Linked DNA regions of Drosophila melanogaster. The protein of the gene in region 2 interacts with the protein of the main gene of each other region in a pairwise test. Each region holds a gene or a part of one and is shown on either strand. Other genes may lie near its edges.

The links. Proteins that work in one complex are often made in the same cells at the same time.
Region 1: the proteins of CG9331 (region 2) and CG10395 interact in a two-hybrid assay, tested with the Drosophila melanogaster proteins (one large-scale study listed by BioGRID).
Region 3: the proteins of CG9331 (region 2) and alt interact in a two-hybrid assay, tested with the Drosophila melanogaster proteins (one large-scale study listed by BioGRID).

Annotation. Positions count from the first base shown.
Region 1 is NT_033778.4:5,348,869-5,352,527, reverse strand, and holds CG10395 (uncharacterized protein), read right to left. Parts: upstream 2,052-3,659; 5' UTR 1,720-2,051; coding exon 1,707-1,719; intron 1,649-1,706; coding exon 816-1,648; 3' UTR 808-815; downstream 1-807. Other genes in the region: IFT20 (intraflagellar transport 20), read left to right, coding at 412-807.
Region 2 is NT_033779.5:20,821,773-20,828,253, forward strand, and holds CG9331 (uncharacterized protein), read left to right. Parts: upstream 1-1,869; 5' UTR 1,870-2,343; intron 2,344-2,661; exon of another isoform or gene 2,662-2,952; intron 2,953-3,499; 5' UTR 3,500-3,648; coding exon 3,649-3,740; exon of another isoform or gene 3,741-3,803; coding exon of another isoform or gene 3,804-3,895; coding exon 3,896-4,315; intron 4,316-4,860; coding exon 4,861-5,198; intron 5,199-5,259; coding exon 5,260-5,385; intron 5,386-5,724; coding exon 5,725-5,843; 3' UTR 5,844-5,952; downstream 5,953-6,481.
Region 3 is NT_033777.3:17,679,461-17,684,240, forward strand, and holds the start of alt (aluminum tubes), read right to left. Parts: upstream 3,056-4,780; 5' UTR 2,997-3,055; exon of another isoform or gene 2,942-2,996; intron 2,784-2,941; exon of another isoform or gene 2,635-2,783; intron 417-2,634; exon of another isoform or gene 187-416; intron 1-186. Other genes in the region: CG7655 (uncharacterized protein), read left to right, coding at 3,329-3,655, 3,715-4,149; CG31251 (uncharacterized protein), read right to left, coding at 4,349-4,635, 4,695-4,780.

The DNA of each region.
Region 1 (3,659 bases), on a different chromosome or scaffold from region 2:
TAATTAATTAATAATTATAAAAAAATTAATGTAAAATATAATTTTATAGTTCCTGAATCTTGACGTTCATACGGACAGACGGACATGGCCAGATCGACTCGGCTATTGATCCTGATCAAGAATATAAATACTTTATATGGTCAGAAACGCTCCCCCCCACTGCCTGTTACTTTTTAACGAATCTAGTATGCCCTTATACTCTACGAGTAACGGGTTATTAAAAAAGGGTTATTATTTGCATTTCAAATAATTCAAATACTGAAAGCTAATATAATTTCCAAAAGAAAAATACTAAAGCCTCAATGCATTTATATACAAACGCGTAGCTCTTATTTGTTTACGACTCGTTCAGTTGTCAATAGCAACGCAACGCATAGTAAGAAAGTATTACTTTGTTACAATCGCAATAAGATGGAAGAACTTCAAAAAGTTGGTGTGTTTATAGATGAAATTTACACGGTGCGAGTTGAGCATCCAAACCTTTCCAGTAGCAAAATAATGTTTAAACAAGAATGCTTCAACTACATTAAAGCATTCACTATTTTTAAAAAGTTTGTGTTTAATTATTGTAATATTTCTGAAACGTTTGCCAAAGATGTCGATAAGGAAAAACTACGCGCTATTGGTACTCAAAATCAATTAAAAACGGCATTTATTCAGCGCCAGAACAAGCAGCAAGTCTATCAATATGAGATATTTGAGCAAACAGTAGAACTTGAACGCTTAAAAGGCGAATTGCAGTTTTTACAGCGAATTGAAACGGAGCAACATGAAATAATAAACAATTTTTTTGTCAATCAATATTAAAATTAAATCTACGTATTTGTAGACGTTTTTCTTATTTTGTTGATATTCTTACGATAACATGTAAGACTACATAATGGAACATTTGTTGTTGAACAATTATATGTCTTGCGATTTTCACAACCGCTTACAAAGCACACCTGTGAAGGAGGAGGTGTACGAGGGAGTTGAACTTTTAAAGGATATTCGTAACCTGGGGGAACTATTACATAGTTGCCAGTTACAGCACTTATATAGGTTATTTTTGGATAAGAGGGCTGTTGTAAAGACTTATTGCGAATTGAAATCCGATCCCTGTTGGTTGCCTGTTTTTTTAACAACCGCTCCATTGTCTTTAATTTATCTTTTTCTCTGCGTTCGTCAGCTTGTTGTTTTCGTTTTTGAGATTTCAGAAGAGCTTTATGAATTTCCTCCGCAGTCTGCGGCTTTTCCTTTTCTTTATAACCACTTGGAAGAGCAATTAGCTCTTCTATAAATCCATTTATTTCGGAGTCCTGTGTCCGTTCATAAATAGCACGTTGACGTGCTGTCATAAGTTTGGGGTCCTTTATCTTTTTAAGTTCCTCATCAACAACGTCTAGTTTCCCGGTTTCTATGGCGGTAAGCCACCGATCCTCTTCACTGGACGTATCACTGTTGCGTCGTCTTTTACCTTTTTTAGCACCCGTGTGAGGCAAACTGTCATCATGTGCCAATTTTTTTGTGCTAATATTTCTCGTGCGTCTAAGAGGATGTTCATGAATATTTGAATTAGATGCAAGCGCATCTGTAGTGTAATGAAGTTCTTTAGGTCTCAACGAATTTGAAATAGACTCAGCAGATAAGTACTCTGCATCCTTAGAACCTATGAATAAAAAATGTTACTTTTTAAGATGTAACGTTTGGTGATTGATATAAATTACCTTCTTTCACCATTTCAATTGAAATACACTCGTCCTGTAGCAGCGGCCAATATTTTTGTTTGTTATGCTTAATTTTTTCAAATGTCCAAAAATTGCATTGGTCATACATCCACTACGATGCTTATAGCCTAATTCCACAAATGACATCCTTATTAAACGGCTGGGAAAATCGTGCAATCTCTCTGGCCACATAGTATAATGATTTTAAACTTATAATGATTATAATTATAATAATAATAATTATAATAATAATACTAAAAAAAATTTGAATTGTGCACAATATATTTTTGTATTCCCCTTCCTAAATGCATTTAAGCAATTCACAGAATACATAGCAAAACCATGGTTAGCGGTTGTGTTGAACCGATAACCGATGAAACTGAATAGTAACTAAATATCGTTCCTGATGTCGAGACTCCAATCTATGTGCACTTATGCACGCGAATTCAAATTCTGCATGAAAAGCGCATAAGTTGATAAATGAATAATGGATAAAGTTTAATAAAATTACAAATTATTTGAATTTTTGGTCGGGTAATGTTTAATGTTTTTTATGTTAGTGTCATTACAATCGATATGTTCGATTATTTTACTAAACTTTATATATATATATACTATACTATACTATATATATACTGTTTGTCAAGAAACTGTTTACACACCGTGAAATAAGTTGAATTTTTAACTTTAAAGGTCAAAATTAAGGGTTATTTGTTTAATTAAACGCAATTTTTTTATGAAATATAATTAAACAATATTTATTTTACTTATAAATTAAAAAACAAATTCAAAATATCAAATATACAAGAAAATAAACAACAAATTTCAAGTTTACACACTTTTGAGAGTGTAAAGAAACTATTTACACAAAACACTAAACCTAAGTTTAATCATAAATTTTTTAATTATTTTGTTAATATTTGAAAATTTTTAGTATTTAGTATGACCCCCATTGGCTTTGGCTACAAGTTGAAGCCTTTTTTTCATGGAATGGATGAGTTTTTTTAGGTCATATTCAAGCGGGATCTTTTCCCACTCTTCGACTATCGCAGCAATGAGATGTTGCCGTGTTTTGGGGCACCTTTTTGCCACCTTCTTCTTTAAGTAGGTCCACAAATTTTCAATGGGGTTCAGATCAGGACTCTGAGGGGGCGTATCGATCACCTTGCCACAGTTATAAAGTAGCCAGTTGCGTACATTGTACTCTTTATGTTTGGGATCATTGTCGTGATAAAACTTAAAATTTGGCTTGTTGTTGCTAAATAGACCACATTTTTCTGCACTGGCCTTCAAATTTGTTTCTAAAATATCTAGATATTGCACGGCATTCATAGTGCTTTCAATAAAGGCTAATTTGCCCACTCCATGGCTGGAAATACAGCCCCAAATAATCACTGACAATTTTCCAAATTTGATTGTTGGTATGATATTTTGTTTTTCTAGCGCACTCAACGGTTTGCGCCATACTCTGCTTGGCCCGTCGTTATAAAAGAGCATCATATTTGTTTCGTCACAAAATATGACGTCATCCCAGTACTCTTCCGCATGATCTATCATGCTGAATGACGCTTTTCAATATTGACCTCTGATAGCAAAGGCATTTTTCTTGCAACTCTTGAAGAGTACCTATGGTAGTAGGATAACGTGGTGCACAGTTTCGTGTGACACAGTTAGGTGATATTCTTCCCTGATATCCTGAGCAAGTGATCTGACCGAGATTCGGGGGTTCGCAATCACTTTTAAGGCAGTCTACTCGCTTGTTAATTTTGGTTTTCCGCCCATTACCACTCTTAGGTTCAAGCCTGCCCTCTTTTTCCGCACGATTTAAAATATTATAGACGGTCTTAGGTTGCCGTCTCTTGTTCGTTTGCATCCCTCGACTTCTCCTCCACAGGCAAAGTCCACCGATTTCTTTATGATGAATGGTGAAATTCTTTCGAAAGAGTTGTTGTC
Region 2 (6,481 bases):
CGTTATATTCATAGAGCTGTGCCGTGTGTAGGCACCGCCATCGACTTGGGGCCCACCACCACACGCGCAGACACACAGACACAGCTCGCTCTCGCTTTTTGTCTTCCGTCGGGTTATCTCGCTGCTGGCGACTCTGGGCGCCTGTTCCGTTATATCGCGTAGAGGGACCTGCCTCAATGTTGCGCGTCAATTTTAGGGAGCCTACACCATAAAAATCGGTGACGGTTGGCCACTTTTTTTGTGGCCCGGCACGTCCCACTTTTTTTTCATCTTGGCCTTCTCGACAGGCCGTTGAGTGGAGTTGGGCGCTCCAAAAGCGCCTGCGCGGAGTGCGCGACGCCTCGCTTTGCAGCTTTGTCGCTCGGCCGCCATTTGCGATTCCCGCTGCTGGTGTCGCCAAATATGAAGCAAGCAGAATGCGGCGCAAGCAGTACGGATATGTTTGTGGATGCTGCTTAGGTGTCTGCAACTTGCCCTTGACAGTTGACTTTAACCCGCTGAGTGCTGTGCGAAGGCAATCCCAATCTTACCTTGTGAATGCAATTAGCAAGGTTCTAAGTTCTAAGTTAAAATGTTTGTAAATTACTTTTTAAGAAATGTGAACAAGTACTACAATGTGTATTTTTGGTGACACATTAACTTTTATTGCATTAAGCATTATCAGGAATAGTGCTTAGAAGTGCCTAAAAGTATGCCCACTTTGTTCTTAGTTGGGAACTGAACTAAGTAAACGTTTTCATTTTCAGTTTCCGATTATATCGAAACTGTAGTAATTTATTAGCCTAAAACGAAGACCTAGTGTTAGGCTTTCTAATATCCCAACTTATAAATATTATTTACATACATATGTACATATGTACATTGTATTTTCATATGTTCAGTGGAGAGATCGAGAGATGCGCTTCTCAAATTCCATTTTTTCCGTTATACCCCGTCTTTCACTGTCCGCCTCCACTATCTCTATCTCTCCGCATTTTCTCTTCTCTGTCCGCCGCACACACTCTCGTTGGCGTCTGTCTGCTGTCATCAGTTGCTGATTACTTGTTCACCAAACCGCAGTTTAGCGCTGGCAATGCCGGCGGCAGCAGACGTAACGACGACGACGGTCGCGTCTGATAGACAGCTGTCTCCAATTGGAATGTTGTCTCCGGTTACGTCAGTCAAAATGACGCATCGTGTTTTGGTAACAGGAAAGCATAAAAGCGAGAAGAGCACCAATGTGCGGCACTCTGCTGCACAATGGCCGCGAAACAAAAGAACAAGGCACGAAGAAAATGTGTAAACCGTTGTGGGGGACGAAGAAAAAGCAGGCACAGACGCTGCGCCGCGTCACGACAACAAAAAAATCCACCCTCGCACAAAGCGCTAATATTTTGTTGGTTTTTCGTTTCGCTTTCAATTAGGCAGAGTGCAGTGTCTGGGCCAAATCTCAAAGGTAAGAGGAAGTGCACAACTTTCAGTGAAGCCAATCTAGGCAAACAAAAAGCCAAACTGTCCGTTTCGATATTTCACTAGAGCGGTATTATGGTTAAAACTATGTTAAAATAGTTCTATACTTAAATCGTAAATCAGTAAAATTTAGATTAGTCAATTTTCGTATAGTAACAATATCAATAATTTTATTGTTTTTAACATTTGGAATATCTTATAAATATGTATATGTATTATCATGTCTATGAATATATTCAGTTCTAACCAGTAAAATATTTGATTACTCCTTACACGTAGACGTAAAGTAATTTAGTATTTTGTTTTAAGTTTCTGTGCCTTTTGTCGGAAGTTCTAGCTAGTTAATTCGCGCATCACTGCCAGCGACGCTAACGCCAACGCGAACGGTTCTTGCCGCCGCTTTCACACAGACGAAAAAGCGCAGTGTGCGTTGGCCAACGCTGTGCGCCTGCTGTTCTGCGGACAAAATTTGAGCAGATCCGCTCACAAAAAAACGTACTTAACTGCGAAATAGTGCTGGTCGTGTAGGTTCCACGTTCCAACCGACTGCAGTGCTTTGGCTCCATGGCACCACGGCTAAATGGCCAAATGGCTCCACTGCTCCGGTGGCTCCAACTGCGGTGGTGCCCATTCCAGTTGGAAATTGCATGCGAGCACATGGGAAAAGTCCCCAACTGGTATTTCGAGCAGGCGCACAGCTTTCCCAACTGCTCACTCTCCCAAAGAGTTCCGTCTCTGTCTCGTTCGCACCGATAAGGAGCCTTTCGAGATAAGCAGCTGGAAAGGGACGGACTGATGGTAGCGGCAAAGCGCAGTGTGCAACGACAGAAAGGGATGCCCAATGATGGTCTAATCGGAGGGGGAATCGCTGATCGCTGATAGTACTGGAATCTGGTTGATATAACCCCAATATTATGTTAAAGAGTGAACTACATTTTTAACTGAGATTTTAGTGAGTTTCCGGCCTTTAAGGGGTGTATTTTTACGATAATAAAAGTTTGTTAGATCGCATATTGTTTTAAATATTTCATATATGTTATTTTATTTTAACGAATTTATACAATTGACTTCAAAAATATCTGTGCACCATTCCATAAAATGTAAACCGAATTAATATGTTGAAAATTACTCTCGTATTAACTCTTTTTTGGGAATTGATAATTCATTTGCGATACGATATGAGTTCTATATAAGGCTTAAGCTTTGGGGCCAATACTTCAGTCGTGCGGCAAACGCAAAGCTGAAAAGTATTCTAGTTCTATAGATCTCACGGTAAGAGAAAGTATAAAGTCTAAATAAGAGAACATAAAAATGAAATCGGATTGCGAGCTTTTATTGCATAGCCAATGGAAAAAAGTTTTAGTTAAATTTTCACGTCGGGTGCGTTTGGAGGCAGAGTGTAGCATAGTGTAAAGAACAAATTAATAATAATATAATAAAGTAGTTCTCTTGTGACATTTGGTGTCGTAAACAGTTTGGTTAAGAGAGTTTTTAAGAGTGACGGTTTGTTCTTTGGTGACATTGAGTGTAATTAATATCAAAATATTACTGTGGGTTTTTCCATTCCCTCCCACAAACAAACAAACAATGCTAAAAAACCATCAAATTGTCAAAAGTGTTGAGTGGAATGAGTCGTGGAAAAATGATTAGATGCGAACATATCTGAAAGTTTTTGCTCGCGGAATTTCGCCATAAAAATCTCGTGCGTCTGTGCGGAGATAGCGACCGTATAACCGCGAAATTTAAGTACTTTAAAAAACATGGGAGATAGATGTATTTTAGCTACTCGAAATTATTGACCGCAGTATATAATCGTATTTCCACTGAAATAATTGTCTCTGTTTTTTAGCCAAAATAATTGGCTCTTAGTCTTTGATAAATTCATCTATGTTTCGTAATTTTTTCATTACGCTCCACATGTTAAGTAAAATTAAACTTAATTTTAGAATGTTTATTTTTGCCAAATGTTATTGTTATTAACCCAGAAATAATCTTGCACCGTTCCTGATTATTGAATCCACTTCGATAAAACTCCAATATTATACCTTAGTTCTCGAACCAGCAAACCAGTTGTGCGTCTTATACATACGCCGTAGGAGAGACTGAGACTCACATCAGCTGCTCGGCGGCTTGAACGCCTACAGACATACATACATACGTACATACATATATAGGGAGAGATTTAGAGCGCGGATTATAATGCTAAACAGGTTCATTGGTTTATCGGCTGCGATCGTGGGTCGGAGCAGTCGGATCAGCGGCTTTCCGTTCTCGCCGCTCCTTAAAGCTGGGTGCGTATGCCGCTTGAGAGTTCAGTCGCTCGCGAAACACGACTTCGATCGCAATACTTCGAGATGAGATCGATTGCCACCAACTCCCTGCTGCCACTGATTGTGGCCTTGCTGATCGCCGGTAGTAATGCCTCCCTCCCACGCAGGGGCAGCAGAAATCAAAGCCAGAATCGCACCATGTCCGCTGGCAAGGCTTTCAAGGTCCTGGTGACACATCCCGAGGTTCCCCAGGAGGGCATTGATCTGCTGAAGGAGAACTGCGAGATCGTCCAGGTGCAGAGTGTTCCCATCAACCGGGCGGAGCTGCTGGAGAAAATCCGTGGCGTGGATGGCGTTCTCTGGGGTGGACACGAACCCCTCAATGCCGAGGCCCTCGATGCTGCCGGTCCCCAGCTGAAATCCATCTCCACCATGTCGGCGGGAATCGACTACGTCGATGTGCCGGAGGTAAAGAGACGTAAGATCCCGCTGGGACACACGCCCACCGTTCTCAACACCGCCGTGGCCGATTTGGCAGTGGGTCTCCTGATCGCCGCCAGTCGCCGTTTTCACGAGGGTCGCAAGACCATCGACAAGTGAGTACCACTAGTTGGTTAGTTGTGTTTGTGATGATTCATATACTTACAGAATTAATTTGAGCAATGACAAAAATAGAGTAAACCGAAATTATAATTGTCATAATTATTATTATAATTAAGCTAAACTAGGGACACTTTATTTTCAACTTAGTGTGGCCGTGAAATGTATACGCATGAATTCTCGATTAAAATTGCAAGCCGGTTCTTAAGAATACCGCCTGTCCGCTCGTCTGTCGCTTGCACTTTTGCTCTATAGCGCTCACAAGTGGACAAAGCATTATCATCAATAGGTTTTGGCTCCTCACATGCATAATGTAAAATTCTAAAGTATTGACTTTCGATTTATCTACAAACAAAAGGTACGAGCAGTTTATGTAACCGCCGCTAGGTGGCGGTGCAATAAAAAAAAGTTTTTTTTATCTTCATCTTAGCTTAGTAACAGGCATTTATCAGTATCTCGAGTATCTACAAGTATATTATATATTTTGGAAATATTCATATATCTTTCAATTTCTTAATTTGTATCTTTTGCGTTCTAAAAGTGACAAGTGGGAAAACTACCATCTTAACTGGCTGTTGGGCCAGGATATTCGTGATTCCACCGTGGGATTCTACGGCTTTGGAGGCATTGGTCAGGCTATTGCCAAGCGTTTGTCTGGATTCGACATTGACAAGGTGCTGTACACCACCCGTCGTCGTGTTCACAAGGAGATCGAGGAGGAGTTCAATGCCAAGAAAGTTGACTTCGATACCCTTCTGGCCGAGAGTGACTTCGTAGTGATCGCTTCTCCTTTGACGAAGGACACACAGGGCGTCTTTAATGCCACCGCCTTCAACAAGATGAAGCAGACTGCTGTGCTGGTTAACATTGCCAGGGGCAGTAAGTTACCAGTATTAATTGGGATTCTCGACCGATTTTAACTATTTATTTTATTCCTCAGAAATCGTCAACCAGGATGACCTCTACGAGGCTTTGAAAGCCAACCGAATCTTTTCCGCCGGACTCGACGTCACGGATCCGGAACCATTGTCGCCCAAGGACAAGCTGCTGACGCTTGACAATGTTGGTGAGTGGGAAAATGAAAATAATGTTGTAGTTTATTGATATCAGTCCTCAGGCCCACACCTAGCAAATACTCGTATTTCTGGCCCCTTATCAATATAAAGATTTTGACTTATCTCTTCAGTGGTTGACAATGACTAAAAGTATTTTGAAATTAATGGAATCTTTAAGGTTTCTTGAAGGTTACAAATAAATAGGGTAACGTTTATTCTTTCCATGTTTTATCTAATTTCTGCGTCCTTGTTGACCTCTATAATTCCCTTCTTTTGTTGATTTATTAAAACATTGTTATCTTGGTTTGTGTAATCGTATCTTGAACTAACCACTTGATGTGTTCTTTTAGTTGTCCTGCCCCATATTGGATCCGCCACGAAGCGCACCCGTGCCGACATGTCCACCATTGCTGCCCATAATGTGCTCCGCGGTTTGGCTGGGGAGCCCATGTTGTCGCCCGCCTACTAGTAAATTCAAATGGGAAATATGGCTTTCTACCGCTAACCAGTTTGGAATGTCCGCCAAACAAAGTGCGAAAGGCCGCCGATGACCTTGGCATGCCAGTAGATGTGAAAATAAAAAAAACAATTAAAAAACAAGTATTTGCTGTTGCAAATTTATTAAATTAAATATGTGGGAATCTAATCTATACCGTAAGATTAGCTCAACTGATTAATATGGAATAGGTAAAGCAATAGAATAATTGGTGCTAGAGAATGAGAAACATAATTTAAATACTAATATAGTATATCGTAGGAAATAATATTGTACGTTTTAAGAAATGAGAGCAGAAAACATTGATTTAGTAATTCGCAAAGTTTAGCTCTGCACAATTGCAAAACCTACCACTTTTCCCCAAAATGTATCGAGGACCTTCAAACTGCTGATTTCGCATCCAAAAGTCCCAGGAACGGCTGCGGGAGCTTGTCGGATCAGGATCGGAATAGGATCATCGCTTCTTAAAACTGGGTGCTTATGCCGCTTGAGAGTTCGCTCGCGAAACCCGACTTCGGTTGTAGTTTTTCAACCTGCTCCCACTGATTATGGCTTTGCTGATCGAATATAATAATTGAAGGCCCCTGGGCATGGCCCGTTGGTTTCAAGGT
Region 3 (4,780 bases), on a different chromosome or scaffold from region 2:
GAGCAAGATTTTATTGAAGAATCAGCAAACAAATTTGCAATAAGTCTTGAGTTTAAAATATGCGATAACATTACTTGTATCATCAAAATAAAATACGTTTATATATTTACTCCGCCCAGTTATCTTTGAAACTTTAAAATAATATATATTTGTAGTTTGTACATTTTTGAAATAAAAAATACTAACATTACTAACAGAACGTTTTATTCTCAGTGTGCTTGCGCTCCGTGGCACTTTTCTCTCTTCGCTCCCACCACAGTTAGAACAAAACTTGAAATTTCGCTGACTCCGCGAGCTCAGTGGAAGAATTCACAAATTGCAAAAATTTCAATTCAAGGTTGTTGCTCTCTGCGGCTGCGATAACTGGCAGGTCGGGTATTTATTTTCCTCTGTTGGCTTGTCAAGTTCTGGCTTCTTATTTCTGCTGCTTTGCTGGCTCGCGTCATGTTTCTGGCTAAAAGATACTGACTGTGTTTCTGTTTCTTCTTATCCACAATCAACAAACATTTCTAAGGGGCTTTCAAAAATACTGGGTTACGTGATACTGGGTAGATGAATAATCCGTATACAGCAAATCTTTCCAGGTTTACTCTATCTACATATAACTAACTCTTGATTTCATTTATTAACAAATGTAACCATTTTTAGTGTTTCCAACTGTTGTATTGCGACCATTGTGACAATTTAGATGGTTCATAGCATCTTCACTACAATTTATGAAAGTTTTTACAACTCCAATTGTCTATTATCTAGTCCTATGAAACCGACATTCATTATTACGGATGGGTGGACTGACCACAAAGTTAAATTAATATTTAATGGCACAATGGAAACGGGTTTCCGTCAAACAAATCGATGGCGTTTAACGGAAAGTAAGTAAAGTCCGGGCTGCGGATTCCGATTCCGTGAGTATAGAGGCGGGGGAGGAAGAAGCAGCAGAAGCGGTGGCGGCAGAAGAGAGCCAAAGCCAAAAGAGAATAAAAAGCACAATAAAAACGCCGGTAAAGGTCATCAACCGGAAGAAAAGCGCCCATGTGTGCGTGAGTGTGACTGGCCAGTGTTTTTGTGTGAGTTTTTGTATAAACGAGTGTGTGAAAGTCGAAATCTTGCTGCCAATTATCATTATGACCATCTATAAATAATTATGTATTATGGTCGAACAGCATGCAAAACACGCTGGCTGCTCGGCCTCGTTACAGCCAACTGACAAACTGGCAAACTGACATCGAACTGCACAGTTGGCCTAATTTTCCCGTTTTTCTTTCTATCTTTCTGTGCCGTTGCTTCCCTCCCTCCCCCTTTCTTTTGCGGCGCCCCAGTGTTCAATTAGCTGCCTGCTCACACACACACTCGCACTTGCTGGCACATGGAATTTCTCCCCTGTTGGTGAGCCCCGGCCAGAAATGCCAAGTTGACCATTTTCTGGCCTTTGAAGGCAGCGTGTTTGAAGTGGGTCAAGTATTCGCCAATGCGATTACATCTCTTCAAATGGAAATAAAAAAGTTATTGATCCTCGTAACTGTGTATAATTATTAAAGTCCTTATGCGAATTATAAATGTCTAGATTTGTTTCTAAAAAAAAATTGTTTTTCATAATCAACTTACATATCCTAATAACTTCTTAAAACTGAAAACTTCCAATCTATCTAAAATTTAACCGGGTTCTCCATTTTATATTATTTTTGTTCTTTCATAAAAAAATAATTTGAAATTATACTTTTACTAGCTTGCTTTCGCAGCAGCATCACTGATAACGGTGCAAGTGCTTTCCTCGCTCTCTCTGTCACCGCTGAGCGAGAGCGTACTCGCACTCATTCATTATTTTTCATCTATTTATTCATAAATGCATTTTTTGCCCCTGCTATTTTCAGCGGCTCAAGAGTTTTAATTTTAGAAAGCACTGCTCCCTACTTTTCGTCTTTTTCTCCCGTAATATTTATGCAACATGCAATGCTGCTTTATTTATCTCTGTGGGAAAGAAAGCGTGGCATGTTTTTTGCGGTGTGTGGTGTCTTCTTGTTATTCCTGCGTGGGAGCGTCAGGTTCCAAGTTCGTTTCCCTAATTTTTTCTTTTGGTCCACAGATGGAAGGTTGGTCTAAAATGTGGAGTGACTCATAAAGGCTATAAATAGGCAAATTGATATTGTCTAAAGCTGGCGGTTAATGATTATTGATTGCTGACGTAGACGTCGATAGCATTTGTTGATTGTCAATTGGTTTTCCCCGATGACGAACGATTTTTGAGTCTATGATTTATTGGACTGCAGCTGCTCTGCTCCGCTCTCTCTTTTGAGCTCTGCTCCGCTCTCGCTCCTTTGATAAGCCCGCATATGCTTATGTGTGTGTGTGTGGTGAGGTCAGCGCATCAATTATGCTCATTTCTTGTCTTTTTCTTTGATAAAATCAGCGAACAACAAATGGGAAAGGGCGGGGGCAGGGCCCCGGCCAGACGGCGGCGCCCGAGATTTTTGGCAAATCAAAGCAGTCAGCTGTCCCCTTTGCTCATAATTAAGCAATGGGGAGCAGTGAAAGTGTGTCGACTACTAATTGGCACCTTGAATAATTGCACACCGATAAATAAAGTAGTGGCTTCCTTTTTCCTCTCAAGACAAAAGGGCGTCGCACTGCACTTACACACATACATGTACACCGCTCTCCCCTTCTTATCTCCAGTCTCTATACTTCTAACGCTGATTTTCAGCCGATTTTAAGCCACTTGCAACGTCAACAATTTTCACAACATTTCACATTTACAATGCAGTCTTTCTTTTCCTTCTTCTTTTCTTTTTGTTGGAAACGCATCCGCCATTTGCAAGCCACTTGTGTATGTGTGCCGGAGCGCTGCGCCTGTTTGAGTGTGTGTGTGTGTTGGGTTGTCGCGTCGACAGTTTTTTCATCACTTTGCTTGGATTTAGATACGCTTTATCAAACCAGTTCTTACTTGCAACTGTTAAACTTTTTCTCAACTTTCTTATGCCTTTCGGCTGCGGACTTACACTTTTTCGTTAGTGGGAAAATTGAAACATTTGCAAACAGAGTGACCGTGGCGACATACTCCAAAAATCGCGCCAGTCACATAATAGTCCTAAATTTGGACAACTAGCGATGACTCAAGCCGCCGGATAAATGCGCTATGTTTTTGTAGCCGAGACACGCTACGTGGGGAGAGCGATGTTTTTATCGTGGACACAAACCAAATTGAAATTCTTCACCGAAGATTTTATCGCGACTGTGCCATGGTCGCACTGATTAGCTCACCGAAACGTTCATTGAATTTGTTTTGATTATCTCGAAATAACAAGCTATTTTCTCAATTTTCCTGACAAAAATGACATCGATTGCCAAGTCCATAGTACTATTGGCATCCCTGGCCACGTTCGCTTACTCCCTGTACGTGGTTGGCAGCCTGATGATGTTCCTTTCGACGCCTCGTTCGATTTCCAAGGCGCACACCTGGATTTTCAATTTACTGGACAACAAGTCGCGCCTGCAGACCGCCTATGGACCCGTGGTGTTCGATACCCTCTACCTGATCGGATTCATCTTCCAGCACAGCTTCCTCAAGTCAGCCGTGGTCAAGAAGCTGTTGGCCAAGTTGGGATTGTCGGGTGCGGAGCGCACTATTTATAGCCTGACGTCATCGCTTTGTTTACATGTTTGTATACCCACAAATTGGACAGAAATAGCTCCCAACTGCAACTTTGGACATTTCAGTATTTGATCGTCAACTGGCTGCCCGCTCAGTCGATTGTTCTGTGGCAAATCGATGTGGAGCAGAGTGCTCCGCTTTGGTGGACCTTCGTGATCACCCATGGCATCTGCTGGGTTGTCATCTTTGGCGGCAGTTTGGTGATGGATCTGCCAGAGCTGCTGGGCGTCAAGCAAGCCTACTACGATCTGAAGGCCTACGGACCGCCCATCAGCTACAAATCCGGGGAATTGCGCAATCTGTACGCCCATGTCAGACATCCCTCGTTTGTGGGCCTGTCGGTCATCCTGTTCGCCACGAATGTGATGAGCGTGGATCGGCTAGTCATGGCCTTGCTGCTGACCACCTACATGTACCTGGCCTGGTCCACAGATCAGAAGGATGTGGCCTATCAGAAGATTCAACTGCAGCGCAAGAAACTCGAACTGAAGGCCAAGTAAACTTAATCTCAAAAGTGTTCTTACTAAGATCTAGTTGTAAGTTGACATGAGTTTGTATTGAATAATACTTTTCTAACAATTTCAGTTTCCGAATCAGAACGAAACAAATAATGAAAAAACTAAAAGATATATAAAAATATATATGGTTCAGTTTTTACTATTTTACTACTATTGCTAGCTTAATTAATTATTTTAAAATTTAACTCATTCTTACGATAGAAGGATCAAAGGGCTGTCCTTTAAACGGCGAACCTTCGGCATCCCAGGCAGCTTTCAGGCGATCCAGGTTTATAGCTTGGTCGGGACTTGAGGTCTGAATTTCATTTTGTTGCTTGTCTGCTGCCAACTGCTGGACCCTAAGCTTTTCTATGGTGGCCTGGGTTTCCTCCGGCAAATCATCTATATAGCGTTCGCATTCAATCTTCTTGGAATCGATTTCTGGATCACCTTCGAAGAGCCGATCCCACCAGAGCTCCTTTGCTTTATCTACAGTTATATACAGTTTATGAAAATGGTTTATAAAGATGTTTTAGGTGAATGCCCACCGTAACTTATGATCAATCGGTTCTGATCAATTGTCCACACCGCCTCCTTGTGTTTAATCCGCTGGCTCAGGTTTCCCTCGAGGATG